4 linked regions of the Saccharomyces cerevisiae S288C genome follow. The gene in region 2 interacts genetically with the main gene of each other region. Each region holds a gene or a part of one and is shown on either strand. Other genes may lie near its edges.

The links.
Region 1: of VHS2 (region 2) and PCL2, extra expression of one rescues a mutant of the other (dosage rescue), as found in Saccharomyces cerevisiae (one study listed by BioGRID).
Region 3: of VHS2 (region 2) and DMA2, extra expression of one rescues a mutant of the other (dosage rescue), as found in Saccharomyces cerevisiae (one study listed by BioGRID).
Region 4: of VHS2 (region 2) and PLP2, extra expression of one rescues a mutant of the other (dosage rescue), as found in Saccharomyces cerevisiae (one study listed by BioGRID).

Annotation. Positions count from the first base shown.
Region 1 is NC_001136.10:230,025-237,768, reverse strand, and holds PCL2 (cyclin PCL2), read right to left. Parts: upstream 2,843-7,744; coding exon 1,916-2,842; downstream 1-1,915. Other genes in the region: AAA family ATPase CDC48, read left to right, coding at 1-1,612; VCX1 (Vcx1p), read right to left, coding at 3,882-5,117; YDL129W (uncharacterized protein), read right to left, coding at 5,870-6,745; ribosomal protein P1 RPP1B, read right to left, coding at 7,242-7,448. UniProt on the Saccharomyces cerevisiae protein: G1/S-specific cyclin partner of the cyclin-dependent kinase (CDK) PHO85. Essential for the control of the cell cycle at the G1/S (start) transition. Together with cyclin PCL1, positively controls degradation of sphingoid long chain base kinase LCB4.
Region 2 is NC_001141.2:91,702-99,737, forward strand, and holds VHS2 (Vhs2p), read right to left. Parts: upstream 4,675-8,036; coding exon 3,364-4,674; downstream 1-3,363. Other genes in the region: TMA108 (Tma108p), read right to left, coding at 1-1,087; OM45 (Om45p), read left to right, coding at 1,918-3,099; YIL134C-A (uncharacterized protein), read right to left, coding at 4,821-5,024; flavin adenine dinucleotide transporter FLX1, read left to right, coding at 5,694-6,629; 60S ribosomal protein uL13 RPL16A, read right to left, coding at 6,826-7,394, 7,685-7,715. UniProt on the Saccharomyces cerevisiae protein: Can suppress the synthetic lethality of the hal3 sit4 double mutation when overexpressed, suggesting that it is involved in the G1-S transition.
Region 3 is NC_001146.8:405,846-414,193, reverse strand, and holds DMA2 (ubiquitin-conjugating protein DMA2), read right to left. Parts: upstream 5,854-8,348; coding exon 4,285-5,853; downstream 1-4,284. Other genes in the region: DEAD-box ATP-dependent RNA helicase DBP2, read right to left, coding at 1-555; DNA-directed RNA polymerase core subunit RPC19, read right to left, coding at 995-1,423; YNL115C (uncharacterized protein), read left to right, coding at 2,141-4,075; malate synthase MLS1, read right to left, coding at 6,172-7,836. UniProt on the Saccharomyces cerevisiae protein: E3 ubiquitin-protein ligase which functions in cell cycle retarding in conjunction with the UBC4 and UBC13/MMS2 complex, 2 E2 ubiquitin conjugating enzymes. Involved in nutritional control of the cell cycle.
Region 4 is NC_001147.6:844,157-851,598, reverse strand, and holds PLP2 (Plp2p), read left to right. Parts: upstream 1-4,469; coding exon 4,470-5,330; downstream 5,331-7,442. Other genes in the region: rRNA-processing protein RRP36, read left to right, coding at 1-662; thiosulfate sulfurtransferase RDL2, read right to left, coding at 870-1,319; thiosulfate sulfurtransferase RDL1, read right to left, coding at 1,545-1,964; HUA2 (Hua2p), read right to left, coding at 2,390-3,121; YOR283W (phosphoglycerate mutase), read right to left, coding at 3,454-4,146; FSH3 (putative serine hydrolase), read left to right, coding at 5,807-6,607; RFM1 (Rfm1p), read left to right, coding at 6,969-7,442. UniProt on the Saccharomyces cerevisiae protein: Essential for cell growth. Inhibits early G-protein signaling events following pheromone stimulation. Inhibits the folding activity of the chaperonin-containing T-complex (CCT) CCT2 which leads to inhibition of cytoskeletal actin folding.

The sequences.
Region 1 (7,744 bases), on a different chromosome or scaffold from region 2:
CTTTGAAGAAGCCGAAAAGAACGCTCCAGCCATCATTTTTATCGATGAAATCGATTCTATAGCTCCAAAGAGAGACAAGACTAATGGTGAAGTTGAGAGAAGAGTTGTCTCTCAATTGTTAACTTTAATGGATGGTATGAAGGCAAGATCTAATGTTGTTGTCATTGCTGCTACCAATAGACCAAATTCGATTGATCCCGCTTTAAGAAGATTTGGTAGATTCGATCGTGAAGTCGACATTGGTATCCCAGATGCTACAGGTAGACTTGAAGTTCTACGTATTCACACCAAGAACATGAAGTTGGCTGATGATGTTGATTTGGAAGCATTGGCTGCTGAAACACACGGTTACGTGGGTGCTGATATTGCCTCTTTGTGTTCTGAAGCTGCCATGCAACAGATCCGTGAAAAAATGGACTTGATAGATTTAGATGAAGATGAAATTGATGCAGAGGTGCTCGATTCTTTAGGAGTCACCATGGACAACTTCAGATTCGCATTGGGCAATTCAAACCCATCTGCATTGCGTGAAACCGTTGTTGAAAGTGTCAATGTTACTTGGGATGACGTTGGTGGCCTAGATGAAATCAAGGAGGAATTGAAGGAAACTGTAGAATACCCAGTCTTACATCCAGACCAATACACAAAGTTTGGGTTATCACCATCAAAGGGTGTGTTGTTCTACGGTCCACCAGGTACAGGTAAAACTTTGTTAGCAAAAGCTGTAGCTACTGAGGTTTCTGCCAACTTTATCTCAGTCAAAGGTCCAGAATTATTGAGTATGTGGTATGGTGAATCGGAATCTAACATCCGTGATATTTTTGATAAGGCAAGAGCAGCTGCACCAACCGTCGTTTTTCTAGATGAATTAGACTCCATTGCCAAGGCAAGAGGTGGTTCCTTGGGTGATGCTGGTGGTGCTTCGGATAGAGTCGTCAACCAACTATTAACAGAAATGGATGGTATGAATGCTAAGAAAAATGTGTTCGTGATTGGTGCCACCAATAGGCCAGATCAAATTGATCCTGCTATTTTAAGACCTGGCAGATTGGATCAATTAATTTATGTTCCATTGCCAGATGAAAACGCTAGATTATCTATTCTAAATGCTCAATTAAGGAAAACACCACTAGAACCAGGGCTAGAGTTAACTGCGATTGCCAAGGCCACTCAAGGTTTCTCTGGTGCTGATTTACTCTATATTGTGCAGAGGGCTGCTAAATACGCTATCAAGGATTCTATCGAAGCTCACAGACAACACGAAGCTGAAAAGGAAGTGAAAGTAGAAGGTGAAGACGTGGAAATGACAGATGAGGGAGCAAAGGCTGAACAAGAACCAGAAGTAGATCCTGTTCCATATATTACAAAGGAGCATTTCGCAGAAGCTATGAAGACCGCTAAACGTTCTGTTTCAGATGCTGAATTGCGTCGTTATGAAGCATACTCACAGCAAATGAAAGCATCTAGAGGTCAATTCAGTAATTTCAACTTTAATGACGCTCCATTAGGTACTACGGCTACGGACAATGCTAACAGTAATAATAGTGCTCCAAGTGGAGCAGGTGCTGCATTTGGTTCTAATGCGGAGGAAGATGATGATTTGTATAGTTAGTTATATGCCAGGTATATTTTTATTTTAAATCGTAAATTCAAGTCATTTCTATAAAAAAAATCGTCAATTTTAACTCAATATTTTATGGCCCTTTTTATATTTATTTTCAAATTTGTCAAAAAAAGGAGAGCTAAATCATTAGAAAAAGAATGCATTATGGTATATTTATGTATATTAATATGTAAAATAAGAAAAAAGGGAGGCTGTAGGACCTCGGTCGTAAGAACATTTACCTGTGTTCTTCCGCCTTTTCCGAAAGTGCCATGAAGAAACGCAGGCCAGGCATAATTTCGACATTTAAAATCACGATTTGAAGTAATTTGACCAATTCGATTTCTTTACTTTTGTATCTTCTTTTATTATCTGTTTGTTTAACCCAGTTTTCAAGATCACAGGGCGCGCTTTACTAAAATTAAAAGGCTTAATTGTCGGTATTGGCCTATTTTCCTTGTTATCGTGTTTGGAGTCTATGTTGTATGTTCGCGGAGAAAACTTGTCGCTAATGTTATTGGATTCGTGTAGTTCGGGCAAAGTTCGTATTCTGTTACTATAATTGGATAAATTCGATCTTCTAGATTCCAACGTGGAGAGGGTCGAAGTGGAAGCTAAAGATGGGATAGACATATTGGACGATGAGCGCGAATGGGAAATGGATGTTTTGTTTACTATGTCTTTTTCTTGAGCAGAAAAATTTTTCAACGTGCGACAGTCTCTTTGCGATTTGTACAACTGCTCCTCTTTGATAGGCTTCAAGAATGGCGAGAGACATGTAATTAAATCATCTGTGGAAATGGTGACGTCCCAATCAAAATATTCTAATAGTTCCCTTTCAATAGTATTAACCTCCCTTAGGATGAGAAGGCCGTCCGTATATTCGGCCCAGTGTTTGTTAAGAGGGGAGGAATCATTTAACGTTTTTGCAGCTAATATTAGGCAACCTAAGAATATTCTATGCCTGGTGGTCTCTATACCATAAACGTTACTCGGTATTATTGATCTTAATTTGGCCAAATATACAGAGGTAGCCATCAGAGTCGGAGTTTGAACGTTAGAATGCTTGATCAGTCTGTTGATGAATTTAGTCAACGGTGGTGCTGGCAATGCAATATCTATCATACTATTCGTCTTCTTAATTTTGATAATGGAAGCTGTGGTCGATGCTAGATATTGCACCATTTCCTTAGATACAGCCTTCCTATTGAATTTCAGCAAGGCTTCGTAGTTTGACATCTTTTGTAGTAAAAAGTTGCTGCCGTATTGAAATTGCTCTTGTCGGATCAGGTTGTTTAGCACCGGGTCTTACTTTTATAAAGGAGAATTATAAAGTGAAAGAAAGGAGAACTTATAAGACTAAAGAAAAAAACACTTAAGAAGCACTTAAACTTGCATTAGATGTGTAAATCGATCAACCTGTAACATGTTTGAGGAAGGTCTCACACGTCTCCGAAGTTACAGCTACCACTTAGCGTGTCTGCGGGAACAATAGATCTCTTCCCAATTTGCACTAAATAGGTAACTAGCCAGGCCTATAAAAATCTTCGAGCGGAGAATTGACCGTAGTATCTGCCAAAAAAATCCACCTGCACCAGCATTTTTCGTGTTACGCGAAGTCTACTTTTCGCGTCATCAAAAGACGCTATAAAAATATAGCTGGGCTAATTTTATTCTATAGCTGGCCATTTTTTTATGCGATATCTGCTGGTTTTTTACAGCTGGAATGCCGTGACAGATGTAACAAGAATGTGTTTCAGCTGGCATTCTCACTCAGAAATGTAAGGCTAAAATCCGCTAAAATAGGGCTTCGCGTCTCATGATCTATTCACATTTGTTTCTAATAAACTATACTACAAAACGAAATTCTGTTGTGCAATGATGTAGGAAGCTCCATGAATTTGAGCAAAATTCCTAAATATTCTCGTTGTAATGAATAACGTTACCCTGAACAGTGCAGCAAAGCAGCTGATGTGCTGCAAGAAGAACACGAGCTGTAGTTGAGAAGCTTCGAAATATTAAACCTTTTATCAGAATGGAAATGGTGCAGAATTTGAGTTTCGAAGAGTGTACAAAATATTTTGTTGGTTTTGAAAACTTTTTTTCAGATAAAATTCGATATAAAAATTAGTTGCGTAAACATAATATGTATAATATAACGATCATAATAATGACTTGCTAGTCATAATCATCTTTGTATTGGTCCATCGATAGAATTACGAAGAAGATAAAATATAAAAAAAAAGAGAATGGTGAATTTCTGCGCTACTGTTCTTACTCATAAACTATTTCCAATAGAGTCAAGGGTTTTTTCGTCTGGATAATAGAAAAATGCCATTGCAATCAAAATATACATAGCTAGAGACATGACACCCTCCAACCAGTTTGACTCACCATCGAGAATTAAGTAATTGGATAAGAAAACAGCAATAAAAAGAGTAGCGGTTTCAAAAGTGGAGAAATTTAGCGTCATTGGAACATCGATCATCCAGCCCACAAGAACCATGAATGGTGTAACAAATAAGGCAACTTGTAAAGAGGAACCGATGGCAACACCTAGCGCCAGATCCATCTTATCCTTCATGGCCACCAAGACTGAAGTGACATGCTCTGCGGCATTACCCACAATAGGAATGACAATCAAACCTATAAATGTTTTAGATAGCCCGGTAGATTCAACAACGTTGTCTATCGTACCGACTAGAAAATCCGCACAAAAAGAGATGATCACAGTTGTACCTAGAAGTATCACCAATGATGACTTGACACTCAAAGAGTGATGTGGATTCCTGGAAATGGTGCTCATAACTTCATCGGTCTCTTCTTCTTGTTGCTCAAACAAGGCGTGATGGCTCCCTAGCTGGAAATATAAGAACAAAACGTAAACGATGAGAATAACAATAGAGGTGCCTCTGGATAACTCCAATATTTTTCCATCGATGAAGTGGTCTTCCTTGCCATGAGGTAGGGTGGCTCTAAAGGCAGCGGGAATCAGTAGGGATGCACACGCAATGGCAAGTAATGAGGACATTGTTTGAGCGGCGGTTTGGTTGAATGTCTGTTGGACTCTATTGTATCCACCGAATATGAAGCATAATCCAAGCACTAACAGCAAATTAGAAAGAAGACTACCTAGCATCGAGGCCTGCACAATTCTCACTTGACCTTTTTTCAGGGCAATGATAGAAACAATTAGTTCCACAGCGTTACCAAAAGTAGCATTTAGCAGTCCCCCAATGGTGTTACCAGCCTTATCAGCCAACTCTTCCGTGGCATTAGCCAAGATAGCTGCCAACGGTATAATTGCCAAGAAATTAAAAAGAAATGTCAGTGTATGAGATAGTTGGAAGTGTCCCCAAATCAGACCTAAAGGAACAAATACCAATAGGAAATTCAGGGGTGACGCTTTCAAAATATACTGTAAATCATACACAGCTGCTCTCCATGCAGTGTGCTTTGGATTGCGGGCGGGATGACTGTTCGCAACAGTTAATAGTGGGGTAGTTGCATCCATTGTATCTATGTTGTTTTATTTGCTATCAGCAGCCGATGAATGATATGCGTCGAAGTCAACTATATATTTAGGACTGCTTTTTAAGTTTAGGAAAGAGGAAACTTCTTTTACTCTCTGAGGAGATAAAATAATGCTGGGCGATAGTAATTTCCATATTCTCGTGAGGGAAATTTTTATTTTTCGGGAATTTTGATCAAGCCGTCCAGTCCAGTTTACGAAAAAGGAACTACGTCAATTAGTTTACAAAACATTCCCGATTACGTATGTCATATTCATCGAAGTTCGTAAGTGAGGATGACAAGGGATTAACGTCGTAAGGAAAACAATCTAATTGAAAAAAAAAAACTATTAGATAAGTATATATAACATTAAATTAGAACTTAAATACTACAATATTGTTCTCTTGGCAAAAAACAAGAAGGAAAATAATTGTCCCTCTCCAAACTGATAGCTTCCATTGAGTTCAATAGGAGAAAAAAAAATCCAATTTTTTCACACTTTCGGAAAATTTCCCTTTTAAGTTGTACTAAAATTACAGACAGTTGGAGGCATTAGATTAAAGGTGTATGATAGAGGTTAAAAGTAAACATAAATTCGTAACTGAAGAATTGAAGGAGATATTTCTCTTTGGAGAATTTTAAAAGAGTAAACCAGAAATAAAGAGAATAGAATATTATTAGAGAATAAATGATGTGTTTGGTCCCATGAGAAAGAAAAATTATTGACGTTCAATAATATTTTTTTCTAGCATACTATTTTTTTCGTGATTTAGGTTCTTTTTTCTCCAAATGAAAAACTCTCACATATTCGTTTGTTGCTGGATTGTCACTCCTTCTTCTCATCCTTGGATGCGGTTTATTGTTCTCTACTAATTCCAATGTGTCAATTTTGGTATCTTCCTCAACTTTATCAGTACCCGTTGGGACTTTTTGGGGAGAAAGATTCAAAGACGGCCGGGAAGCAGGAAGAGGAAGTTTTGGAACTTTGGTTTTCCATGAGTTCGGCGATACACCTCCATATCCTCCTTCTAGCCTAGCGCCAGTGGATAATGGTCTTTGCGCTAGTCCTGGCAATGACAGTTTACGCTTTAAAGGTCGTTCAAGAAGTGGTCTCAACTCTGCGGAACTTGCACTTTCGTTGGTTTTTGGGGTCTTGTTTTTTAAAAATTCTACCTCTTTTTTCAACAAGTTTGTCTCAACTGCATACCTTCCCTCTGAGGTGGCCCTTAACTCCGATAGCTGGGCCTGTAACTTCCAGTGAGATGTGGATGCTAAAGACCTGTTAAGCACACTTAATATGAGATCTTTCTCACTAACTAACGTTTCATCATCCCCTTCCTTTATCCTCTGTATGAGATTGAGAATTGTGTTTTCTAGTTCTCTGGTGTTTTTCAAAGATGGCATGAAGTGACTAGTAAAATTGTAGTATTCATTGTCATCAACTTTCTTCGATGAATCTGTAGTAGCGGTATCAGAGTAAGCGGGACTAAATACACTTGTGTTCTCGCTCTTTGCTTCCCTCGTGCCGACCCTCTCATTGGATTCTATGCTCCGTTCACTCTTATTCTTGGCAGGTTCCTCAGGCGTGACAAGATAGGCCTCTGCGCTCCGTCTACTTCTTAGCTCCATAGCCAACAAAATGTTAAATTCCTGTATGCCGTAGCCTTGCCCGCGTTTCGTATCAAAAGGGATGAGAAACTAAAGTGCTCAAATTTTATACGTTTCTAGTGCCTTATAGGTGTATTGCTAAGCCTGTAAGGACCGACGTATGTCCAACTTAGGGAGCTTTACATGTGTCAAAGAACCTTTCATTCCCGATGAGTAAAAATTTTAAAAATGTGCGCGGGAGAAGCTTCGGTCGGCGTCGCCATCAAAGGGCGAGCAACCATGGGTTTATGTAATTTTTGGTTGCTATGGTGACGACAGGTCTGATATCCCGCAACCAGGGGCTATCCCGCAGTGCCATTTCTAGCAAAGAACGAGATGGTTAAATTCTCGTAGCCCTTTCGTATGGACATTACTTCCGATTTTTAAATACTGATTGATTAGAGGTTTATTTTATATGTAAATATATATACATAAAGGGTAAAAAAACGTTGCAGAAAAAATGACTTTCCTTGTATGTTTAGTCGAATAAACCGAAACCCATGTCGTCGTCAGATTCTTCAGCAGCTTCTTCTTCTTTTTCTTCTTCAGCAGCAGCGTCACCACCAGCAGCGGCAGCGCCAGAAGCAGCACCAGCACCAGCAACAGGGCCAGCGTTATGGAAACCAGATAGGATTTCCTTCAAGTCCTTACCTTCCAAAGCCTTAGCGTAAACATCAGCCCAGACCTAATTCAATGATACATATAACAAGCTCCATAGGAAGAGTCGTTATTCGTTGAGTTTGTTAGTAAAATGAGATCCTTGAAGAAGTAATTCGATCCTGACTTGTGCTTTCCGTTAAATACGTTAATGGAGAAATATTTCTACATGTATTGCCCCCTAGTATCTCATCATGTTAGAGGGAAACGTTACATGGAATTTTTCTGTCCCCCATTATTCAAAATTGCGCATTTCTCGGGACGATTGTTGTCTAATCTTTCTCTTCGTAGTCACACAAAGTCGTTTTAGGTTGCATTTTTGTA
Region 2 (8,036 bases):
TGTGGCAAGCTAACCAAGTAGCGAAAGACTCATTAAACCAAAGAGATTCCCACGAGTCAAAAGATATGTAGTTGCCCATCCATTGATGAACGAGTTCGTGGACAATGAGTTGCTGTGCTTGCTCTCTGACGGTTTCATTGGCCAAGGCATTTGGTGGTATGAGCAGGTGGTTTAGTTGGATGGTGATCATACCAAAGTTCTCCATTGCCATGTCACTTAAATATGGTAGTAGGACGAAATCTAACTTTGGCAGAGGGTATGGACATTTAAAATAGGATTCCAACAAAGGTAGATATTTCTGGACTGTATCTAAAGTGAAAGCTGCATTAGCAATATCCCAAGGTGCATAAATTGAAACGGGAATAGTCCTATCACCTTCCAACTTGATTTCCGTTTTCAAAAATTCTAAATCACCAATAGAAAAACCAAATACGGAAGTAGTCATCAAAGGTGTCTTGGCAAATTTCACCAAATGTTTTTGAGAACTATCCAAAGCTTCGACCATCTCTACAGGAGTATTGGAAACGGCTTTATATTGTGCATCCGTTGCAATGTTCAATTGAAAAGTGGACTTGTTTGAAGGCTCGTCAATACATGGGAAAATATTGCTAGCGGAAAACGGTTGGCAGTGAGTAGCAACGACGTGATTATTGGCAGTACCGGTTTTACGATCCATAAAATTGGTTTTGAAAATACCAAAAGTCTTATCATGATGTGTTTTTATGTCACGAATTTTACCCACGTATTGCACGGACAAAATCAGAGGGCAATCGTTGGACAATTGAATAGGAGATTCAGAGTTGAAAATCGACAAATGCTTTCCAGTGTCCTGAGAAATTTTTAGATCAAACTTAGTAGACCCTATGGTGGCATGTGCAGACAACACAATCAAATCCTTGGAATGTAACTTGAACTGGGTAAAACTGTCTTCGATAGAAGCTAAGGTGGTGGAGTTCGGATTGAATTTCAAATGGATTATGGCGGATCCTTTGAAATTGGGCGACGACTGCTTAGGGTCAATTTCTAGACGCAACTCATAGTGACTAGGCACCACCGGATTCTCTAAAGATAACAAATTATCAGACATGATGGTTAGTGATGATCAACCTGGCGTTATATATCCTTTACACGTCTTCGGACCTTTTTTTTGTATAGCACATCCAGGAATGGTTTGACTGCAAAACTCGTTTTTCACTGAAAAATTACCGGCGAATTGTATAATAGAAAGGATCGATTTATACTAAAGAAAAGAAGGATTAATATACAAGACTACAACCAAGGGTGGTACCTCACTTGAAGGGGGTTCTCAAAGTACTCGAGAATTTTGATATTCTGTCCTGTGTGTGCTGAGCCGTTCCAGCCAGTCTTGTTCCAGAAATATGTTGACAAAATTGAAGTTCGTAAATATATATACATTTCATATAATAATTGACAAGCTGATACATACGGTGTGCGGACGGTTACATTAATGCAGGAATCTATAAATGCTATGGCCAGCTGGCGTCCTTCTGTTATGCAGATTTCTTAAAATAATTGGCATATTGGTGGTAAACATGAAATGTGAAGACGTTGCCCCTCGTCATAGGTAAGCGGTGGTCATCACAACCATCAGCGGTGACAATAACACAGCAAACAGTCTTGTTTGACTCTCCTGCCTGCATGGTGTTTGAAAGTGAATCGTCAGGATTTGCAACAACCAATAGTGTACTGCTATTCGCAGGAGCACAAGCTCGCCGGTGGCCCGTGTGGGTTAAGGGAGGAGTTTGTTGACCCTTATTTTGTCGAGTTCCTTGAAGAGGAGTATATATAAGGGGAAACGGTTCTTGCTAAAGTCCTGCTTCTTTGCCCTTTCTTGAAATAAAGGGTATTTTTGATTGGCCAGTAACGTTAATCATTTAATAAAACAAGCAGATAAGGATGTCATCAAGAATAATTGTCGGCAGTGCAGCATTGGCAGCTGCCATCACAGCTAGCATCATGGTCAGAGAACAGAAGGCCAAGGGTCAGAGAAGAGAGGGCAACGTCTCCGCTTACTACAACGGCCAGGAGTACGGCAGTTCAGCACCCCCACAGTTGGGAAAGCTACATAACATAAAGCAAGGCATAAAGGAAGATGCCTTGTCGTTAAAAGACGCGCTTCTGGGCGTATCTCAAAAGGCTAGGGAAGAGGCTCCAAAGGTAACTAAGCGTGTGATATCACCGGAAGAGGATGCTCAGACACGCAAGCAGCTAGGCCAAAAAGCCAAGGATTCTTCCTCGCAAAGCATCTTCAATTGGGGGTTTAGTGAGGCTGAAAGAAGGAAAGCCATAGCCATCGGGGAATTTGATACTGCTAAGAAGCGTTTCGAAGAGGCAGTGGATCGTAATGAGAAGGAGCTCTTGTCCACGGTGATGAGAGAGAAGAAGGCCGCTCTGGACAGAGCATCCATTGAGTACGAAAGGTACGGGAGAGCCAGAGACTTTAATGAGCTTTCGGACAAGCTAGACCAACAGGAAAGGAACAGTAATCCTTTGAAACGCCTGTTGAAGAATAACACGGGTGACGCTAATACTGAAGAAGCCGCTGCAAGAAGTGTCCAAGGCTGGGGTGATACGGCACAGGAGTTTGGTAGAGAAGAGTTGGAGGAAGCCAAGAGAAATGCTTCTTCAGAGCCAAGCGAGGCGCAAAAACGTCTTGACGAGCTGAAGAAGATCAAGGAAAAGGGCTGGTTTGGTTACAACAAAGGGGAGCAAAGCGAGCAACAGATTGCTGAACGGGTAGCCAGAGGTTTAGAAGGATGGGGTGAAACAGCCGCTCAACTTTCCAAGGACGAAATGGACGATTTAAGATGGAATTATGAGAATTCAAAGAAACAACTGGATAAGAACGTGTCCGATGCCATGGACTCGTTATCTAAGGCGAAGGAGGACTTGAAACAGTACGGCAGCCACTGGTGGTCTGGATGGACTTCCAAGGTCGACAATGACAAGCAGGCTTTAAAAGATGAGGCCCAAAAGAAGTACGATGAAGCGTTGAAAAAGTACGATGAAGCCAAGAACAAATTCAAAGAATGGAATGATAAGGGTGATGGTAAATTCTGGAGCTCGAAAAAGGACTAGTTAGATAGCTAATTGTAAAGGGTTGGTTCCCGCATAACATATATACATATTCACATGTTTCTCATTTTTTATATTTGAAATCACATATGGTCTTTGCTGATTATGGATTGGAAAACGGAGTAAATTAGTGGCATTATTGGGGTATACGTGCATACATAAAATACCGTTATATATCTATATATATGGAAAAAAGAGACTTAAATGAATTTTTAGAGTAGGAGAAGAAGGTTGAAGAAATGAACAATCGCGGCCCTTCAGTTTTCTTTATTTGGTTGTGTCTGGATTCATAGAGGTTATTGTAGAGTTTGAATTTGATTTTGAACTTGGATTCGAGTTTGTGAACGCAGGGCTATTTTTGATGTTATTATTAATAGTATTCTTGTGTTTATTAGTATTATTGTGATTATCGTTAACCATGTTGGCAATTGATGGTGGTTGTGCCAGTTGTGACTGCAATTTTTGCTTTAGATTGAGTTTATCTCTTTCAATCATAGTGTTGTCCTCCTCTTCGGAAGAAAACCCTTCACTGCCACTGGATTCCATATGGAATTTGGATTTAGGTTTCCCGATCATAATGTTGGCAGCACTGCCGGGCCTATTGCTGTTTCTTCTTGAACGGGCGCTCCCTGAAGGTGACCTTTGTTGTTTAAGTAAGTACTGTTGGTTCGATGGCGATCTTGATAGTGCGGCCCCCGTAGTGCTTCCAGCGCTGGTTCCCCCATTGGCATTGTTGATCGTTGTGTTAGAGTAACGTCTAGATATGATGAAAGGGTTGGTGAAGTTCATATGCTGAGGTGGTGATGCCGAAGCTGATGGGGGGGAAGGCAAATGAGAAGGAGAATTCAAAAGGGACGACGAGAACGAGTAGTGACCTTGCATTGGGGGTCTTCTCAAGGGGTTCGCAGTTGATGATGTTGATGTCGCATTACTAACGTTGTTATTGTTGTCATCGGACAACATGTCAGCGTAGGAATAAAACCTTAGTAGTCTTGAACCATGGTCGTTGGGAGATCTTGGATGCGCAGGCGACGTTTCGTTATCAAAAGATTGTGACGAAAGACTTCTTGTCCTACCTAGGGCTCTATCCAGGCCGATGGTAGATGGCCTTCTCGAATAAACCATATCAACGTCATCAAGGCCAGTCGTGTCGTCAGTTACAATAGAACAGCCAGCGTCTAATGCAGGAGGGACGAAATTCTCTAAGGTACGACGGTGATCCAGTGGAGTCTGCACAACAAAATCCGGATTGTATGTCTGGTACGATGCTATTGACTCATTAGTCCTAGAAGGTTGCAAATGTAGATTCACAGCAGACGATCTCTGGCTTAAGTTATGGAAGTTCCTATTACTAGAATTATTATGATTGAACAAACTGGTCCTGCTGCTCTGCCTAGAGAGAGAGTTTGCAGCGTTGTTTGACACCGTTTTATAAAGGTATGATGGGTCCTCTACATTTCTTTCAAAAATCATAGAACTCTCGCTCATGGAGGGGGAAGGTGGCATATAATTATTGTCGTTCTCCCTCTGTGCCGCCACGTGGGAGTCGTGGTCTTGGTTGTGGTTGCTGGTATCCATCTTTGCCGTTTACGTTCGCTTTGCTTGAAGGTAGTCTATCACAAAAGCTTTCAGGATCAACCTTTTGCGCCTCAAGAAATTGCATATCACCAAAGGGTGAGTTTAGTCTGATACTGTTTGTTAATCACCTCACGACTGTTGCAACATTAATATGGCGCACACACCGTGTTACGTGATGAAAATAAAGATAATAAAGCGATAGCATAAATAAAATACCATTTAATACGCTTTGTAAAACAAGCACTAACAAGGCGTTGCTTAATAACAAAATAGTCAGCATTCAACAACGTGAGAAGGATAGCTACGACATCTACATCTGCAGTGTTGTTAAATTCGCTGCCAACAACCATTTATATGTCACCATACACGGTCATGCTCTCTTGCACCATTTTTCTCACCTATATAAAGTGAAAAAGTTTTCGATGTCTCTTCTTCCTTCCTAGTAAACTACACTCCATGTGTTTCTGAAAGGGACCTTCAGGAGGTTACGATCAAGTATCTTGTGACATGCAAGAACTTGATGCTTCGATGGGGGAAGTCTTATTTTCAATGTGTTGAAAAGAGTTAATTATGGAACGGTTGGTCATAGCTTTGTACAGCTCAATGTCGTCATGTTTGTAAGGATACAGGCGCGACTTGATCTGCGACTTACTGCTATCAAACGATAAATTATGTTTTTCTTCGTTTCCTTTTTTTTTCTTTTCAGTTTCCTTCCGTTTATTTTTTTGTTGGATTTATCATGATGAGCATTTATTTTACTGCGTTATCGTATTGACGGGGGCTGTTTAAGTACAGTCTGTTTTATAATCTATATTCATTTATATTTTATATTTCTTACCGAGGAAATTGACTCTTAACAGATTTGCTGAAAGGTTCATCTTACAAAAAAATTGGAAAACTTAAACTGAAAAAAAAAAAGTGAAGGAGTACGTGAAGAGCAGTAGCTTTCATAGGAATATGTACAATATCTTGTCTTTGTACTTTGCAAAACCAGCACGCAGCAGGAAGCTCTTGATAATATGGTCGATCACCAGTGGACGCCACTGCAGAAGGAGGTTATCTCAGGTCTGTCCGCGGGATCCGTCACCACATTGGTAGTGCATCCATTAGATTTACTGAAGGTTCGTTTGCAATTATCCGCTACAAGCGCACAAAAGGCCCATTACGGCCCATTTATGGTAATCAAAGAGATTATACGTTCGTCGGCGAATAGTGGACGTAGTGTTACGAACGAACTGTATCGCGGATTAAGCATAAATTTGTTTGGAAATGCCATTGCATGGGGAGTTTATTTCGGTTTATATGGTGTCACGAAAGAATTGATATACAAGTCAGTGGCAAAGCCAGGGGAAACACAGCTTAAAGGTGTTGGGAACGACCACAAAATGAATTCGCTTATTTATTTGTCTGCCGGTGCTTCCAGTGGGTTGATGACAGCTATCCTAACAAACCCTATCTGGGTTATAAAGACCAGGATAATGTCTACAAGTAAAGGCGCCCAAGGAGCGTACACTTCTATGTACAACGGTGTCCAACAACTGTTACGAACTGATGGCTTCCAGGGCCTATGGAAGGGCCTTGTACCCGCACTGTTTGGTGTTTCGCAAGGTGCCTTATATTTTGCAGTTTACGATACCTTAAAGCAAAGAAAATTGCGACGGAAGAGGGAAAATGGGCTTGACATCCATTTAACAAATCTTGAAACCATTGAAATCACATCGTTGGGAAAAATGGTCTCCGTCACTTTGGTTTACCCTTTTCAATTATTGAAATCAAACTTACAAAGTTTCAGGGCCAATGAGCAAAAATTTAGGCTCTTTCCTTTGATAAAATTAATCATTGCTAATGATGGTTTTGTTGGACTTTATAAGGGCCTATCTGCAAACTTAGTACGGGCCATTCCATCCACTTGCATTACCTTTTGTGTATACGAGAACCTTAAGCATAGGCTTTAGTAAATAAAGGCTATATGATAGATTTAATTTCTTGTAAATATCAAACGATAAAAATATAAAAAGTACGAAAGAAAAAGGGGAGGTAATCTAAACTGTAACGGGGAGGAATGGTTTCTTTGGTTTTTATTATTTCTAAAAAATATTTGTGATTATATTACAAAATGTAAAGTATTAAAGAAAAACTATTTTTAATTTCTTAGTAACCCAAAGCGGCTAATTGTTTAGCAACATCAGATTCAGCAGCAGTAGCATTAGCAGAGGCAACTTTCTTGGTGAAAGCTCTCTTCTTGGCATAGTATTCAGCGGATGAAACCTTTCTCTTTGCTTCCAATTTGGCAACAACATCTTCGTATTTCCAACCAACGGAAGTAGACAACTTACCCAAGGTGGTGTACTTTCTACCTGGCTTCAATCTCAAAACTCTCAATGCTTGTGGGACAACAACTCTCTTCTTCTTATCGTATGGAGGTGGGATACCTTCAAAGACCTTTAAACGTTCCAAAGCGGCCTTACCACGAGCAGTCTTGTGAGAAACCATACCACGAAGAGCTTTGTAGAAGATTCTAGATGGGGCTCTGAAATGGAATGGACCACGGGTCTTATTGAAAGCGGTAGCCTTTCTCAAGAAATCATGGTACTTTAATTTGTTTCTGAAAAATTCACCAGAAATGTTTAATTCTTCAGCTCTAACAACAACGATTTTTTGACCGTTTAATAATTGCTTAGCAACAACGGAAGCTAAACGACCTACTAAATGACCCTTACCTGGTTGAAGATTATTATTGATGAATGAATGGATGCTCATTCAAAAAAATGGATTTGTTAGTATTATCCTTTAAATAAAACCTGTTTTTCCCGTTCATAATTCCCATCTCTCTCTATCTCCATGTTTTAGCGTATACACAATCTACGAAGACCCTTCTGTATTCCACCCTTCTGCGGCTGTAATATTTTTATCATATTCCTTGGGGACTCGTAAACGCTGTGCACTATGAGCAAATCCTGCGGCTGGGAAAGGAAAACACATTCAATTATTAGTGCAAAATCTTACGTACCATCAATGACAACAACTGGTTCAACAGACATTTTCTCGATTTGTTCTTCACCTTCCGTTTTCAAAGAGAAATAATATGTATAACGATAGCGTGCAATTATACAGTGTGATTACTAAATTGCTAATTTAATTATTATTACACAGCAGCCCAAGATTGAATTTCCCTGCAGTACCTACATTGACCCATTGCAATAGCATATTCTCAGGCATAAGCTCGGGGAGTGCACTACAGGTACTATTGCGCATCGGGCTTAGCCAAGGGTCTCTGTTGCCGGGCATGGATACAGAGGGAGAAGTCTAGCATCGGGGTAGTTTTCCCGGGCAGGATTTGTTCTGCATTGGCGGGCGTAGGA
Region 3 (8,348 bases), on a different chromosome or scaffold from region 2:
ATCGCCTGGAGCCAATAATGGTTGAGCGTTGATATGAACAATACCTGGTAAACAATAAGACAAAGTCTTACCGGAACCAGTGGCAGCAATACCAACCATGTCCCTACCAGATAAAGCCATTGGCCAACCCTGACATTGAATGCCAGTTGGTTTGTCAAATCCTTCAGCCTTCACTTCATTCAAAACGTAGTCTGGGAAACCAGCTTCATCGAAAGTGGTGATTGGCTTTGGAATATCGTGTCCGGAAATAGTCATTTCATTTTCCTTTCTGAACTGAGCAATCTCACTGTCCGATCTGTCGCGAACACTTTCGTGTTCAACATAGAAATTCTTTTCGAAAGTTGGCAATTTGGGTAATTCTTCATCCCAGTTTGGTTTGATCAATTCCTGGGGTTGGTTGTAATTGGAACGACCACCGAAACCACCACGGTAGTTACCGCCTTGTGGTCTGTCATTGTAAGAGTTTCTATCAGAGTTTCTTCCACCGCGGAAGTCGCCACCTCTAGACTTGTAGTTAGTCTTGTTATATTGCTGATCTCTACCACCGTAAGTCATATTTGCTCTAAATTTGCCTTAATAGTGCTTAATTCTGTTACAGGTTGTTGACAAGAAAATAATTTGAATGAGATACAGAAAAGTATAAGTTATTTGAGCGTAGGACAGTCTTTTTATAAGACAAATAAACTGAAGGAAAAATTTTCTGCGATGAGCATCGGCGTAAAAAAAAAAAAAAAAAAAAAAAAAAGAAATAAAAAAAGAAATAAATTTTTCAATCATTCAATACGGAATACGCCTTTAAAAAGGAATTTCGAATTCTCAACATTATTAGCACCTTGTACGAAGGTGTATTTTTATCTGGTTATATTATACATAGATTTTAAATAGCACGACTATAAACGGGATACACAAATCAAGCTGTATCTATACTAGCGTGGTGTGCATAATTATTAGAAATTTCAGAGTGACAGAGGGTCTTTGAGTCGATCCGTAACATCTACATGCTCTTGATTTTTTCAGTAAACTTAGATTCTACAACGTCACATAAATCCATCAAGTCCTTTAGCCCTTTTTGAAGAGCATCCACCGCGGTCGTTTCACCGTAGGTTTGAATTCTGATATTTAATAGGTTTTCAGAAGGATGAGGTATCGAGTAACCACAAAATTCTACGTCTGGATTTTTCATTATAACGTAACGAAGGGCATTTCCAAGCGTGTGATCCTCCTCTACAATTTGAAAAGAGGCACTAGTTCCATCTTCAGATGTTGCCTGTGTGAGAAGCTTAATTTTTTCCCTGTCTGGTTCCTCTTCCTGTTCTTCATCGCCAGTCATATCAACATCCTGTTCTTCTTCTTCTTGGATGTGCTTTGGTTCTTGTGGTGTTACCTCTGTAGCGGTCTTTTTTTGTTCGATGTCTTCAGTCATTTGCCTGGTACTTTATGTGAAGTTCAATTTTTCCGACTTTGGATTGATGGCCTTTCCCCAATTCGTTACTTTATACCTCAGCATTAGTATGGTTTTCTTTTGAAATTTTTTTTTTTTCCAGCTCATCGCAGGTGAATATTTCTATCACTTGTTACGTTTACCATTACCCGGATTGAAGTAAATATGATTCACCCCAATAAAGCTGTACAGAAGAGATAAGATGTAGCTTTATTAGAACAAAGTTTATCACGTTGTTGGTACTTAGAATAATCTATGATATTGTTGCGTCTTTTTGAATAAGCTTTCTTGCGTGCCGTTTTTTTCGGTTTTTTTTTATATTTCTGCCCAAAAAACGTAGTTCAAAGAAAAGGAACTATCCCAAAATAGAAGCAAGTTATGTTTAAGGAATTAAAAAATGTACCTATAAAGCACGTTTTTCTGATATGTATATGCCTATGTAATGTAGAAGTTGTCGAATCAGCAATCGTATTGGTCAACCTTGATGGCATGTTCTCAGCACGTTTTGAAGTGGCTATGCATATATAGTGTTCTTTAATCTATTCCTTGCAAGGCTATTCGGACCCCTAATTTTAACCATCGTGCAGTTTAAAGGGATGAGAGAAAAACTAAAAGTTAGATGCCTTGCTATATTCTATAAGGAGGAAAGGAAAGGAAAGCCATTGAAGAAAGAACTGTAGGCATCAGAGCGAACAGATCATGAAGGCTAATGGTTTAGATAATGATCCGGCAAGGACGGGAATGGAAAGAACAGATATAGATAGTGAACACCCAGAAGCGCAACCGTTGCTGAACAACAACCACCGGACCCTTGGTGCAGGATCCGCGAATGGCCCAGCAGTTAATGAAGGTCGTGACATTGAATCCGATGGGTTCATCAAAGATAGTCTCTTTCAAATTCGCAAAGGTTATAGAATCTTTATTCATAACTCCAAATGGATATTAAATATCCTAATTCTAATTAACACCATCTGGCTAGTCACCACTTTGATTTCAGATTTCTTTTTCAATATCAATATTCTTTTCGGATTCAGTAACAGGTACGCAAGTTTTAACGACTTGACTTTAATATTCATCTCGATCATAGCTAATTCTTTCAATCTCTGGTTTAATAAGCTGGGACTGTACTCAGCTTTAGATTACAGCTTAAATGTAACTCTCTGTGTTTTGACGTTGTTCAATCTAGCATTGACCTATCTAATTAAATACACTAGGCAAAGAATCGGCTTTGTGGGCACGTTTACATATTTGTGGACTTCGTTTTCATTTTTTATTGGGGCAATATTAGATTGGTATCTCTTGTTTTACAACAACTCAATAAATGAGCCATTGGAGGAACGCAGAATTGATGATGCTAATATTAGTACTTTCAACGAAAACCATACAAATAGTACCGAAAACAGGGACAGAAGCCAATATGGCTCTGGGTCGCCAACCCCCACCCACCGCTCGCAGCTGGTCCAAAACAAACATACATTGACAGAATGGGTATCCATTGGGTTCAGGAATACTATTAAGTTTTTAATTTTAATATTCTTCGCTTTATTCACCCTGAATACACTTTTAACGACATTGGATACCTACAGATTGACTCACAAATTACCAATAACCGTTCAGTCGCCCTCGTACGAGGCGTTCCATTACGTAGATGCCGCTAAAACCTATCAGTTGCATATAACTTGTTATGGTGACGTATTTGATCAAGAAAACAACACAGATTTGTCTGAAAATAAGAAGCAACCTATCATCTTGTTTGAACACGGAGGTTATGATACTGGTTACCTTTCTGCCACCTGGATTGAGGAACTATATCATTTAGACAAAATTCAAAGATATTGTCTATACGATAGACCAGGGTACGGGTTGAGCGATTCTCCTCCCGCCCCAATCTCTATTGCGATGGTTGCGGAATCTTTAAGGTACGCATTGATCAAAGATGCAAAAATTAAAGGTCCCTTCACTACAGTAGGATACGACCTTGGCGGGCTATTTACAAGAGTATTTACCGCCAAGAATGTCGATATTGTGGATAGCATGATGCTTGTTGAATCATGGCATGAAGAACTATTGTTAAAAAACTACATTCAAAGATTACTACCTCCAGGCCGTGGTGATGGCGACGATGGCGACGATGGCAATGGTAATGATGGGGATGGCCGCAACCATGATAAGACTTGGTTACCTTCGGAGATAGAAAGGCATAACGAATTTAGATTATGGTGGAAAGGCATTTGGTCGAGTTTAGGATGGAGATTACAGACTTCATGGTTACTAGCTCATCATGGGTCTAAAGAACGTATATATGGGCGTGATATGAAATATCAAGGACGTTTCTTGCGTTCCAAGTTTTTGGAAAGCGTGACGAGTTCAATTCTAAGTTACAGAGATGTGACAAACAATGCAGAATCTTTGCAAAATGTGAAGACAAGCATCGTTAGCTCTAAGGAAATGGTGAAGAAGTCGGCATTATGGGGCGATTGGCAAAGAGATTTGACCAAAATTTCTCACAAGACTCAAGAATGGAAAATAGTTGAAGGTGGGCATGAAATATATAAGTATGGTCTGGGCAAACAACAAACTCAAGAAGTCCTATTAAGATTAATAGGTGAGCTTGGCAAACTAACCGAGGATTAACCGAGTTCTTTACTTTTTTTTTAGTTTTATATGTGAAAGCAAAATTGACTGCCAACGATGGAGGTATTGTATTCCTGAAAACAATAAGTCAAATATGTAAACGGCGCAAATATATAAATACTAAGAGAATAATTAAAATAATATTAAGGTACGAGATGTGGAGTTCGGTGGTTTTTCTTTATTTTTCAAACTGTGTATTTTCTTTGACCTTAAGGATGGCTATCAACATCCTTTGAAGTTTCCATTAAGACGCTAAGTTGATCCACCAGTTGATCACCTTCACTTTCCACATCACTTTCATCTTCCTCGTCACTACTTTCAAAGGAGGCCTCCAAATCACAACTTGATCTACAGTTGGGGCAAACAAATTGCGGATATGAGAGCATGACCAATCTTCTTACACAACGGAAATGCCAGCTATGTGCGCATGGTGATATGAAAATTGCTTGACACGGTTTGATCTTACATAGGCAAATCGAACAATCTTCTTCTTCAATACCTGTAGTTAATTTTTGTAAATTCTGCAAACGCTGTAAAGCTTCTTTGTTGAACGAATTTGCCTTTAGTTTCCATGATCTATTTAGCTCAATCCTCATCCTTACACAACGATAGATTTCTTCCGTGCCACCTCTAAAATCCATTCCTAACTGTAAAATATCACCATCACGAAGAGGGGTATCTTTCGATAAAGAGGAAGCGGGTGAGAGCCTTTGGTGATTTAAGAAAGTTCCACTAGATGATTTCACATCCTTTATATACCAGTTACCTTGAGAGTCAACTTTAAAACAACCATGTGTCCTTGAAACAACTTTGGATTTAAATACAACTGGATGATATTGTTCAGGTATTTTAGAAATTGCATCGCGAACACGCTCAGTATAGCGGCCAATAACCAATTGGGATCCAGGGCCAGCCTTTCTTATAATCGGTTCAAAGAATAAACCTTGATTTGTCGTGGACGAACTATCAATAAATGGGGTTAGTCTTATACTAAAAAGACCATGCTTATCTTTCCTTTGCTTCAAAGTGACCTCATCTACATTGAACATATTGTTTGACTCCTCTGCACTTGTTGCAGGTAAATCCAAATGTAAAATTTCGGTCCCATTTGGCTGGTTTGCAGCATATATCAAGTGACGTAAATTCTTATACATTTCCTGACTGTTGTTAACAATAGTAGATCCATCTGCACCACCGACTATATTTCTCGTTGTAGCCGCTGGCGCCATGGAAATTATCGAGGTTGTGGTATTGTTAGTACCGTTAGGCTGCCGCTGATTCAAAGACTCTTGAACGTTACCAACATTGTTGCCTTCGAAATTATGCGCAGATGATTGCTGGTGGTCTGTGGTTGTAGGGGCAGTGAGAGATATGGAGATGGGGAGTTGATAGTTGCGATGAACGTGGAACTGGGCCGACAGAGGCATTTGTATAGGATGATGCAGACGTGGTTCCTGCTGTTGCGGAGCGGTATCGATACTTTCCATGGCCACACTCATATGTGAGTTAGATGGGGTTGTGCCGAATAGACGCTGATCAGGAGCCGCAGAAGAAGAAGCTGTCTGGCTATTTTGCCTAATTCCGAAGGTATTCAAAAACGAACTGATACCCGACGCCGGACGAGCCCGCTCATTGGATGGAGTACCACTGGCTCTGTTCCTTGGGTTTATGCCACTACTGCTAGTGGTGTTGGCATTTGATGCGGATGAAGAGTTGGACGTCATCGATGAAGTTGGTGCAGTGGGAGCAGGGGTATTAGCAGGGATAGGCGTGTACATTTCCACGGTATATCCTTTGCTGAAAGCTTCAAACGTATACAATGCGTTGCTATACTTTCTCGACTTCTTTTCAAATCAAAATATATGCCCACGTTTGGAGTCATCAAGTATTGTGTTTGAAATTCCACAACAATGGTTGATGCCTTCGCCGTCGACCGTGATACATTAATCTGGCCAAAACAAAAAAAGGAATCATGATAAGATGATTCATTGCTAACTACGAAACGAAGCAATATAAAGATAAGTTTTTGGATTCCGATACATAATCATATAGGCATGAATATATTTTTATATATGTGTACACTGGGGCAAGGGAGATCACAATTTGCTCAAATCAGTGGGCGTCGCCTTAGTGGACACAATTTCGTCGTACAACAATGTAGTCAAAAATTCACTGAATTTCTCGCCTCTGATTTCTGGCAAGAAATACTTAGCGGCCAGCGCGAATTTGTTCTTGTCACCCAATGGACTTGCCTTAGACAGTCTTTCCACTTGTTCTTTTAGAATCTTTTCGGTTAATTCTGGGGTGACCTTTTCTCCCGTGTCCTTTAGAGTAACACCGTGTTTCACCCATTGATACAATTGACAACGAGACACTTCAGCAGTGGCGGCGTCTTCCATCAAGTTGTTGATGGGCACACATCCAGAGCCTCTGAGCCAAGCTTCCATGTACTGCAACCCGATATCCAAGTTTTGTACAATTCCCTCGGTAGTAATCTCACCATTTGGAATTTTGGTTTCCAGCAGATTAGCAGCCGTTACAACGTTTTCAGGAATGAAATAGATTTGGTTTGGTGTTCCCATATTAATGAAAACTTCATTACAAATAGGGGCCAGTGCTGGGTGTGCAACCCATGACCCATCATGTCCATTTGTCAGCTCTCTAATCTTATCATTACGGACTTTAGTCATGGCCTTTTCATTGGCTGCCGGGTCGTCTTTGATAGGGATTTGCGCAGCCATACCACCCATGGCATGAACACCCCTCCGATGACAGGTATTGATTAATCTTTTCACGTATGCATCCATGAATGGGGAAGTCATAGTCACTTGATTTCTATTGGGCAAAATGTGATTAGGATCATTTCTTAATCTCTTGATTGTAGAGAAAATATAGTCCCAACGTCCGCAATTCAACCCACTAGAATGTTGTCTTAATTGATAGATGATCTCTTCCATTTGGAAAGCAGCAGGCAAAGTTTCAATCAACACAGTAGCTCTGATTGTACCCCTTGGGATCCCAATGTAATCTTGAGCTACACAGAAGACGTCGTTCCATAGTTTAGCTTCCAAGTGGTGCTCCATCTTTGGCAAATAGAAGTAAGGACCTTTGCCCAATTTGATTAATTCTTTGGCATTATGGTAGAAATATAAACCAAAATCAAAGATGGAAGCGCTGATTGGTTCATCATCTACATAAAGGTGCTTTTCCACCATGTGCCAACCACGGGGTCTCACGATAATAGTGGGCAAGTTGGCCACATTTCCATTCAATTTGTACGATTTTCTTGGTGTGTCAAAATCGATTTGATTTCTGATCGCGTCGTAGAGATTAACTTGACCGTAAACCATGTTGTTCCAAGTAGGTGAAGCTGAATCTTCAAAATCAGTCATATAGGTGTTCACAGGAGCATTCAAAGCGTTGATCAGCATATTTCTCAATGGAGGCCCTGTGATTTCCGTTGACCTATTAATTAACCCCGGTGCCAAAATTGGACCTTGCCAAGTGGGATCATTTCTAATATTTGCAGTTTCAGGCAGGAAATCCAGATGATAGGAGCCCGAGTCTAATTTCTTCTGAACAACTTGTCTGTTTTCCAATAATTGTTTTCTCTTGTTGTTGAAAGTTCTGTGTAAAAGAACAATGAACTCTAGAGCATCCTTGGTAAGAATATCTCCCACTGTAGTACTAGATGGTTTAAAGAAAGGCTCCTTATCAACATCCACCAGTAATTTGACGTTATCCAAACTGACCTTAACCATTTTCTTAATTCTTTTATGTGCTTTTACTACTTTGTTTAGTTCAAAACAATAGTCGTTATTCTTAGGTACTATAGCATAAGACAAGAAAAGAAAAATAAGGGACAAATAACATTAGCAGAAGTACGGTATATTTTACTGTTACTTATATACTTTCAAGAAGATGAGTTAAATCGGTAGCCAGTGTAGAAAAATAATAATAAGGGTCATCGATCCTTCGCATTTTATTATCCAATTAAAGATACGAATCACGGCAAACTATATTCAAAGCTCATAGATAATCGTCGTAAGGCTGACACTGCAGAAGAAAAGTCATAATTTGAATACTAGCCGGTATGAAACTGTGATTGATTAACCTGGGGTTACCTAAAGAGAACATAAGTAATACTCATGACAGAATCAAAACACAATACAAAATTTATCCGAACCTCGGCCCGACTGCCGGCTCGCCGGGAAAGGGGACAACCGCTTCTATCCGTCGACTAACTTCATCGGCCCAATGGAAGCTATGATAT
Region 4 (7,442 bases), on a different chromosome or scaffold from region 2:
ACAGAGAAGAAAGTTTTGATGAAGATGAGGACAGTGAGGACCAATCAGACGAGGATGCTGGATTCTTTGAAGAAGATAGTGAGGATGAAACTCATCATGGTCAGAAAGTACCAAAAAAGAAGAGCAAACACGCTCCAGTAGAACAATCATCCAAGAAAAGGGTACCACGAGTCCGAAATATCCCTGGGCTGGAAATACCGAGGAATAAAAGGTCTAACCTCTATCAGGACATCAGATTTGATAAGTCCACCGGTAAAGCCCTTGATAGTTCTATCATAAGAAAACGTTACCAGTTCTTGGACGAATATAGAGAAAAAGAAATTGATGAACTGCAGAAGCTGTTACAAGAAAGAAAATTTCTATCAAAAATAGACCAGGGAGAACGTGAAGAAATGGAACAAAGACTGAAAAGTATGAAATCGAGATTGCAATCAATGAAAAACAAAGATCTCGAGCGTGAAATTCTCAAGGAATACGAAAATGATATGAATAAAAACAATAATACGAGATACCATTTGAAAAAGTCTGAGAAACGTAAAGTGGTGCAAAAGTGGAAATTTGATCACATGAAGGCCAAGCAACGTGAAAAGGTCATGGAAAGGAAAAGGAAGAAGAGATTGGGTAAAGAGTTTAAACAATTTGAATTTCATAATCGTAGGTAGAGTATTTAAGCAAAAGAATGCACATTAAAGTAATATATAGAGAAAGATAAAAAAATAAACGCACACATAAACTAATGGAAGTAAGAGGTTATCCGCGAACCACAAGGAGAAAATCGAATGAATCGGAGAGGTGACAACAAAAAATTTGAAATACACAAAAGGTTGTCTATATACAGGATATATCGATTATACTTGTTTCTTTTTGGCTTATTTTTTGGGCTTAACGTCAGCACCACCTTTAGCTAACCACTCAGTAATAGAACCAGGATAGATACCAGTGTTTTCGTACCCATAAGATCGAGCCAACTCTTCGGCAGTTTTGGCTCTTACTCCTTTCGCACAAAGAAAAATCAATTCTTTATCGTGAGGTGGTTTAGCAAATTGGAAAACTTTGTGAAACTCCTTTTCGGGCAATCCAAGAGCGCCAGGGGCACTATTCACCGGAATATTTATTGTAGTTGGCATCTTGTAATCCTTTACTTCCTTGGGTTCCCTTACATCTACCAATAGTTTTTTATCATTGGGGTGTTCGACTAGGTTCCTGACCTGGTCAAAAGTATAGATCTTTGGAGCCTTCGTTGTAAATGTTCTCAGGACCAATGTAGGCGATCTTGCAGAAACTGTCCTCGAGAGAATACCTGTACTATGCTTGAACATCGTTGGTCTTTTTCTTCTGTCTCGCTTCCATTTGTTGAGAGTTATCGCTATCTTATTCCATTCAGATTAAGTTTTGTATTTTTTTTTTTATACTTCCTAATTTCTTTGCGCCGCCGCTATCACAGCCAATGCAATAGGCAAATATTATGAACGGTGTGACATAAATGGCATAATACGTTACTAGCTTACGAAAATACACAGGGTACATACCTAGAGTATACAAGGCTATAAGTCAAGTTTATCACCCCCATGAGAAACCCAATCATTCATAGAGCCAGGATATAGTGAGGTGTTTGAATATCCATGTGAGGAGGCGACTTTTTGAGCTTCTCCCCCGCGTTTGCCAGAAGCACAATAAAATATTAGCTCCTTGGCACTGTCAGGTTTTGGGATGCCAATCTGTTTCTCAAATTCTAAAGGATCTAAGGCAAATGCGTCAGGGTGCGATCTATATGGCACATTGATGGAAGCAGGAATATGAACAATCGAGTACTCAGATGGTTCTCTAACATCTACCAAAACCACATTAGGATCATGCTTTCCAACGATTCTTTTCATGTCTTCAAAACTGTAAGATTGAATATTTGAAACATTCTTACTTTGACTCTCGGTTCCATTCCAAGCATTCATCACGGCCTTCCACATTTTAATATCGTTTCTTAGTCACAAACCCTGAAAATAAACGAGAAAGAATTCTTTGATTGATTAAGCCTCCACTCTCTTTTATACACCTCAAAAATTCTCCCCTTACTTCCTTCCCCGCGGGTAATAATATTCTCCAAAAAAAATACAAAAGCAATCAGATGTAACTTATATAGGTTCCAAGATAAATAACAAATTATTTGTCATTGCAAGTAGGAAAAGGACATACCGTAGGTGATATCTGGATTTGGGCCTTATGGAAGCCAATCTTAGTAGTAATTCGTCCATATGTCTACCAAAGGGGATAACAAAAAAGTACAACTACAAATTTTTCACACAGTGTCCCGTTAATTTCATATACTCAATATGCTGCGTTTAATCAAGAAAAATTCTGATATTTTGCGACAGAAGGTGTCCCTGGAAAGCGCTTAGTATGCTGTATGATCTTTGAAGTACAATGCACAGGGAAATAAATCACCATATCTGACGATCATCTTGCTAGTTTCTAAGTTCGGAACATCTTGTCTATGCGCCAATAAAACTAGTTTTACATCGTACAGAAACACTGTCCACTTAGAACTGGACACTTGTTTGCCCAGTATAGTTCTGATACTATTATTATGTATAATTCCCTCAATATTAAGCACTTTATGCAAACGTGTTGGCCCATTGAGGCATTGATATACGGCAAGTAATAGCACCTTTTGCTTCTTACCTTTATCAATTTGGAAATAATGTTCGAATTCTATTTTATTTTGCAGAATCCTTAGTATATTTTCTTCGTCGAACTTTTGTACACTATTTAGCTGAAACTTCATAAGCTTTCCGCTCAAATTAACCTTTGCATTTGTTGATGTCTGGCTATTCATTGGGGATGGGACCGGCTGGTGAGTGGACCTCTTACATTGTAATGATTTGTTCCTTTTCTGTAAAAGTTGTAGAAACGCGTCGTAGTACTTCTGCAAGTCGGCAAGAATGGGTTCAATCTGCTGAACGTCCAAACTAAAATCCTCCAAAAGATGTCGCATTTGATTTTCAATCATTGACAATCTCTTTTTATAGCCCAATGTAATACGATCGGCTTCGACAATTTCATCTTCTGAGTACTCAACTACCGAATCGTGGTCCAAATACATCTTGCCAAATTTTGTTTGTTGCATAGTTTCACTGATATACAATTCACCTGAATTTACCACCGACAGAACATATCCATTTCTCTGCTATGGAGTATCAATGTAGTCTTGTTACATATTACGACACAGTTTTCTTTCCTTTAAAATAAACGCGTCGTTCTCATCTCATGTGAAAAACTATATCAATAATATAAAAACATAAAACCCCTATAATTTATGAACATCTACTGCATTTAGATAAACCCTTACGAACTATATGTTTTAAAATAAAATACACGCATGCGAAATTTCTATTACTACCTAAACCGCATTTCTAATACAAAATGAGAAAAACCCAACAGTGAATAACCATATAGTGTCTAACGTAATCTTAAGTCACTGACGACAAATTCGCCATCACCAAGATGTTGGGTGTTTCCGACACGTCTCACAATAAACTGCTTGGAGTCCTTGACGTAATCAACTATAGTGACAGAGGTGTTGAAAACAATGATCTTATGAGCTTGATGATTTTCATACTTTAACCATTGTAAAATCATTCTGATAGCACCTCCATGACTAACTAGGGCTAGATTCTTGACACCTTCATTAGATGCTTCAGCAACTTCTTCTTCGACACATCCAGTTAACCTAGCAACAAAATCGTCACTTTTTTCCCCAAAATTTCTAAAGGAGCCTTCACCATGTTTATCAGCATACTTTTCAGCCTCAGTAATCTGCATACCTTCAATAACACCCATATAACGCTCCCTTAACCCCGAAGTATAGGAAGTAGGCACATTTTCTTGTTTTGAATGTTTCAAAACTAAAGCCGTAGTTTGCCTACACCTTTTTAAATCACTACTGACAACCTTATCAAAATGAATACCTCTTGAACGCAAGTAATGCCCCAATTTAGTGGCTTGTTCTTCTCCCGTAGGATTGATCGAGGTATCTTTGTGACCTTGCAAAATTTTTTTTACATTGTGTTCTGTTTGTCCATGCCTAATAATGAATAATCTGATGATGTTGTTATCGTCATTATCGCAATAATATGGTACTTCCTTAGTCATTCTTGGGTATAAATATATTTTTGGGTGCTTGTATAGCTTCGAGCTTCGTTGCCGCTTTGATCTTACAGTATGAGACTAATTCGAACCAGAATGAATAAAGCAATACTTTATGTTCTACAATTCAAAAAAGAATTAAGTAATATTGTGACGACCTGATTTTCCCATTGTATTAATATCGCTGGAAAAAAAATTACTGAAAAAAGAGGAAATCCCGCTAGAGGAAAAAAAGAAAAGGTTATATGATCGACCTGAAGAAATCTGCAGTACAAGATAACGCCTTCGAGTAAACATCACTGAGAAGAAAGGCATATTCAGCAGACATAATGCAGAATGAACCAATGTTTCAGGTCCAGGTGGACGAATCTGAAGACAGTGAATGGAACGATATTTTAAGAGCGAAGGGTGTAATACCAGAACGTGCACCTTCGCCCACTGCAAAGTTAGAAGAAGCATTAGAAGAAGCAATTGCCAAGCAGCATGAAAATAGACTAGAAGATAAAGACTTGTCGGATTTGGAAGAACTAGAAGACGATGAAGATGAAGATTTCTTGGAAGCTTACAAGATCAAAAGATTAAATGAAATCCGCAAATTACAGGAACGTTCCAAATTTGGAGAAGTTTTCCACATTAACAAACCTGAATACAACAAAGAGGTTACTTTGGCCAGTCAGGGAAAGAAATATGAAGGTGCACAAACCAATGACAATGGTGAAGAGGATGACGGTGGTGTCTACGTATTCGTTCATCTCTCGCTTCAAAGTAAACTACAAAGCAGAATTCTGTCTCATCTTTTCCAATCTGCTGCATGCAAATTCAGAGAAATAAAATTTGTAGAAATACCTGCCAATAGAGCAATTGAAAACTATCCCGAATCCAATTGCCCGACATTAATTGTATATTACCGGGGTGAGGTAATCAAAAACATGATAACGCTACTAGAACTGGGTGGTAATAATTCCAAGATGGAAGACTTTGAAGATTTTATGGTAAAAGTTGGCGCTGTTGCAGAAGGAGACAACAGACTGATAATGAACCGAGACGATGAAGAATCCAGGGAAGAGAGAAAATTGCATTACGGTGAAAAAAAATCGATCAGGTCAGGTATTAGAGGAAAATTTAATGTCGGCATAGGTGGAAATGATGATGGCAACATTAATGATGATGATGATGGATTTTTTGACTAAATAGTGCGAATATTCCTTATTTACAGGCTAAGTGGTGTCACTATCCCCATTATTTAATATATACAGATATAAAGAACAGCAAACTTTGTCATGTACTTCTCTGAATGTTTACGCGAGGATTACGGTATGTATGATTGAACATCGCTGCAGCATGGATTTTAGTAAGAGCCGTTGTCATGGCAACCAATTAAAGCTCTTTAATTACCGTCAAGCATACTTAGGATACAGATACAATAAAACCCCTTATTAAGTTCGAGCAGGCACATCTTGACAGAATAAACCTTTTAAATCGTCATATGGAGCATGGTCTGGTATCAAGTTTTACTACTTTTTCGCTTTGTTGTCAGAGGATAGAAATTTACTTTTTCTAGTTGTGCGTATAAAGAACACTATGGATGCAGTAATACAGAAAGTAATCTGTTCTACTTCGGTGCATTTTCAAACTGAATTCTACCACAAACCCCAGAATTATTATTATGAGTGAAAAGAAGAAAGTTCTAATGCTACATGGTTTTGTCCAATCCGATAAGATATTTTCTGCGAAGACTGGAGGATTACGAAAGAATTTGAAGAAGTTAGGTTACGATTTATACTATCCTTGCGCCCCACATTCAATTGATAAAAAAGCGTTATTCCAATCAGAGTCAGAAAAGGGTAGAGATGCTGCGAAGGAATTCAACACCTCAGCGACTAGTGATGAAGTATACGGGTGGTTCTTTAGAAATCCCGAATCTTTCAATTCCTTTCAAATAGATCAAAAGGTGTTTAACTATTTACGTAACTACGTGCTAGAAAATGGACCATTTGATGGTGTCATTGGATTCAGCCAAGGTGCAGGTCTTGGGGGCTACTTAGTCACTGACTTTAACAGAATATTAAATCTTACTGATGAACAACAGCCCGCTTTAAAATTTTTTATTTCATTTAGTGGATTCAAATTAGAAGATCAATCCTACCAGAAAGAATATCATAGGATTATCCAGGTGCCCTCTCTACATGTAAGGGGGGAGTTAGATGAAGTTGTAGCAGAATCTAGAATCATGGCATTGTACGAGTCATGGCCCGATAACAAAAGGACATTGTTGGTTCATCCTGGAGCCCATTTTGTCCCAAACTCGAAACCATTCGTATCCCAAGTTTGCAATTGGATCCAAGGAATTACTAGCAAAGAGGGTCAAGAGCATAATGCCCAACCTGAAGTAGATCGGAAACAATTTGACAAACCTCAATTGGAAGATGATTTGTTAGATATGATCGATTCCTTGGGTAAATTGTAATTCGATAATTGATATTTATATGAGCTACATACAATTTTTATAAAACTATTGAAAATATCGACGAGAAAAAGGAATAGTGTGACTTTTCTGCCGCCTTCTTTGACGTTTGATTTTCTATACCTGATTTATATCTGTTGCTAAAGAAAGAATTTTCGCGGCACACGAATGATATATATTTAACGTAAGGATTTCTTTTATCTGGCGGAAGTATCTCAATATATTAATATTAAACGCTGTTGAACACTATCCTAGGAACACTGACAGCTAGAAGTGATCATAAGACATTGCATATAAAATAACTATTAATTTTAATTAAAAGAATTTAATTAGAACAACAGGAAGGTGTTATAAGAAAGTGCGAATGAGTACAAATACGGAAATCATAAAAAATAGTGATTTGCAAAGTTTAATCAATGATAAGAGGAGGTTAATAAATGAAATAAAAGACTTTAATAAATCCATTAAACCCTTGGAGTTTGAATCGTATCAGGATTATTTCCTGATAAAAACGTTCAAAAAAGGAATATCTGCAAGTGGCCATGTGGATATTGACAGTTTAAGAAATAAAGAATATGGAATATACTACAAGAAAATCAAGAGGAACTCTACACAAGAAGTCGGCGAACCAATCCCTCGCAACACATCCTCCTCCTCCTCTTCTACTAGATCAAACTCATCAGCTGATATCAGCGATACAGAATATTCAGGTGAGAACACTCCTACAACTACTGGTGCTGCCAGTCGAAGAAGACGTACGAGATCTCGAGCTATTCAAAGAGAAAATAGTCTACCAGCATCTTTACCCTCAATTAGTGAAGCGAATGCAAACAATGAT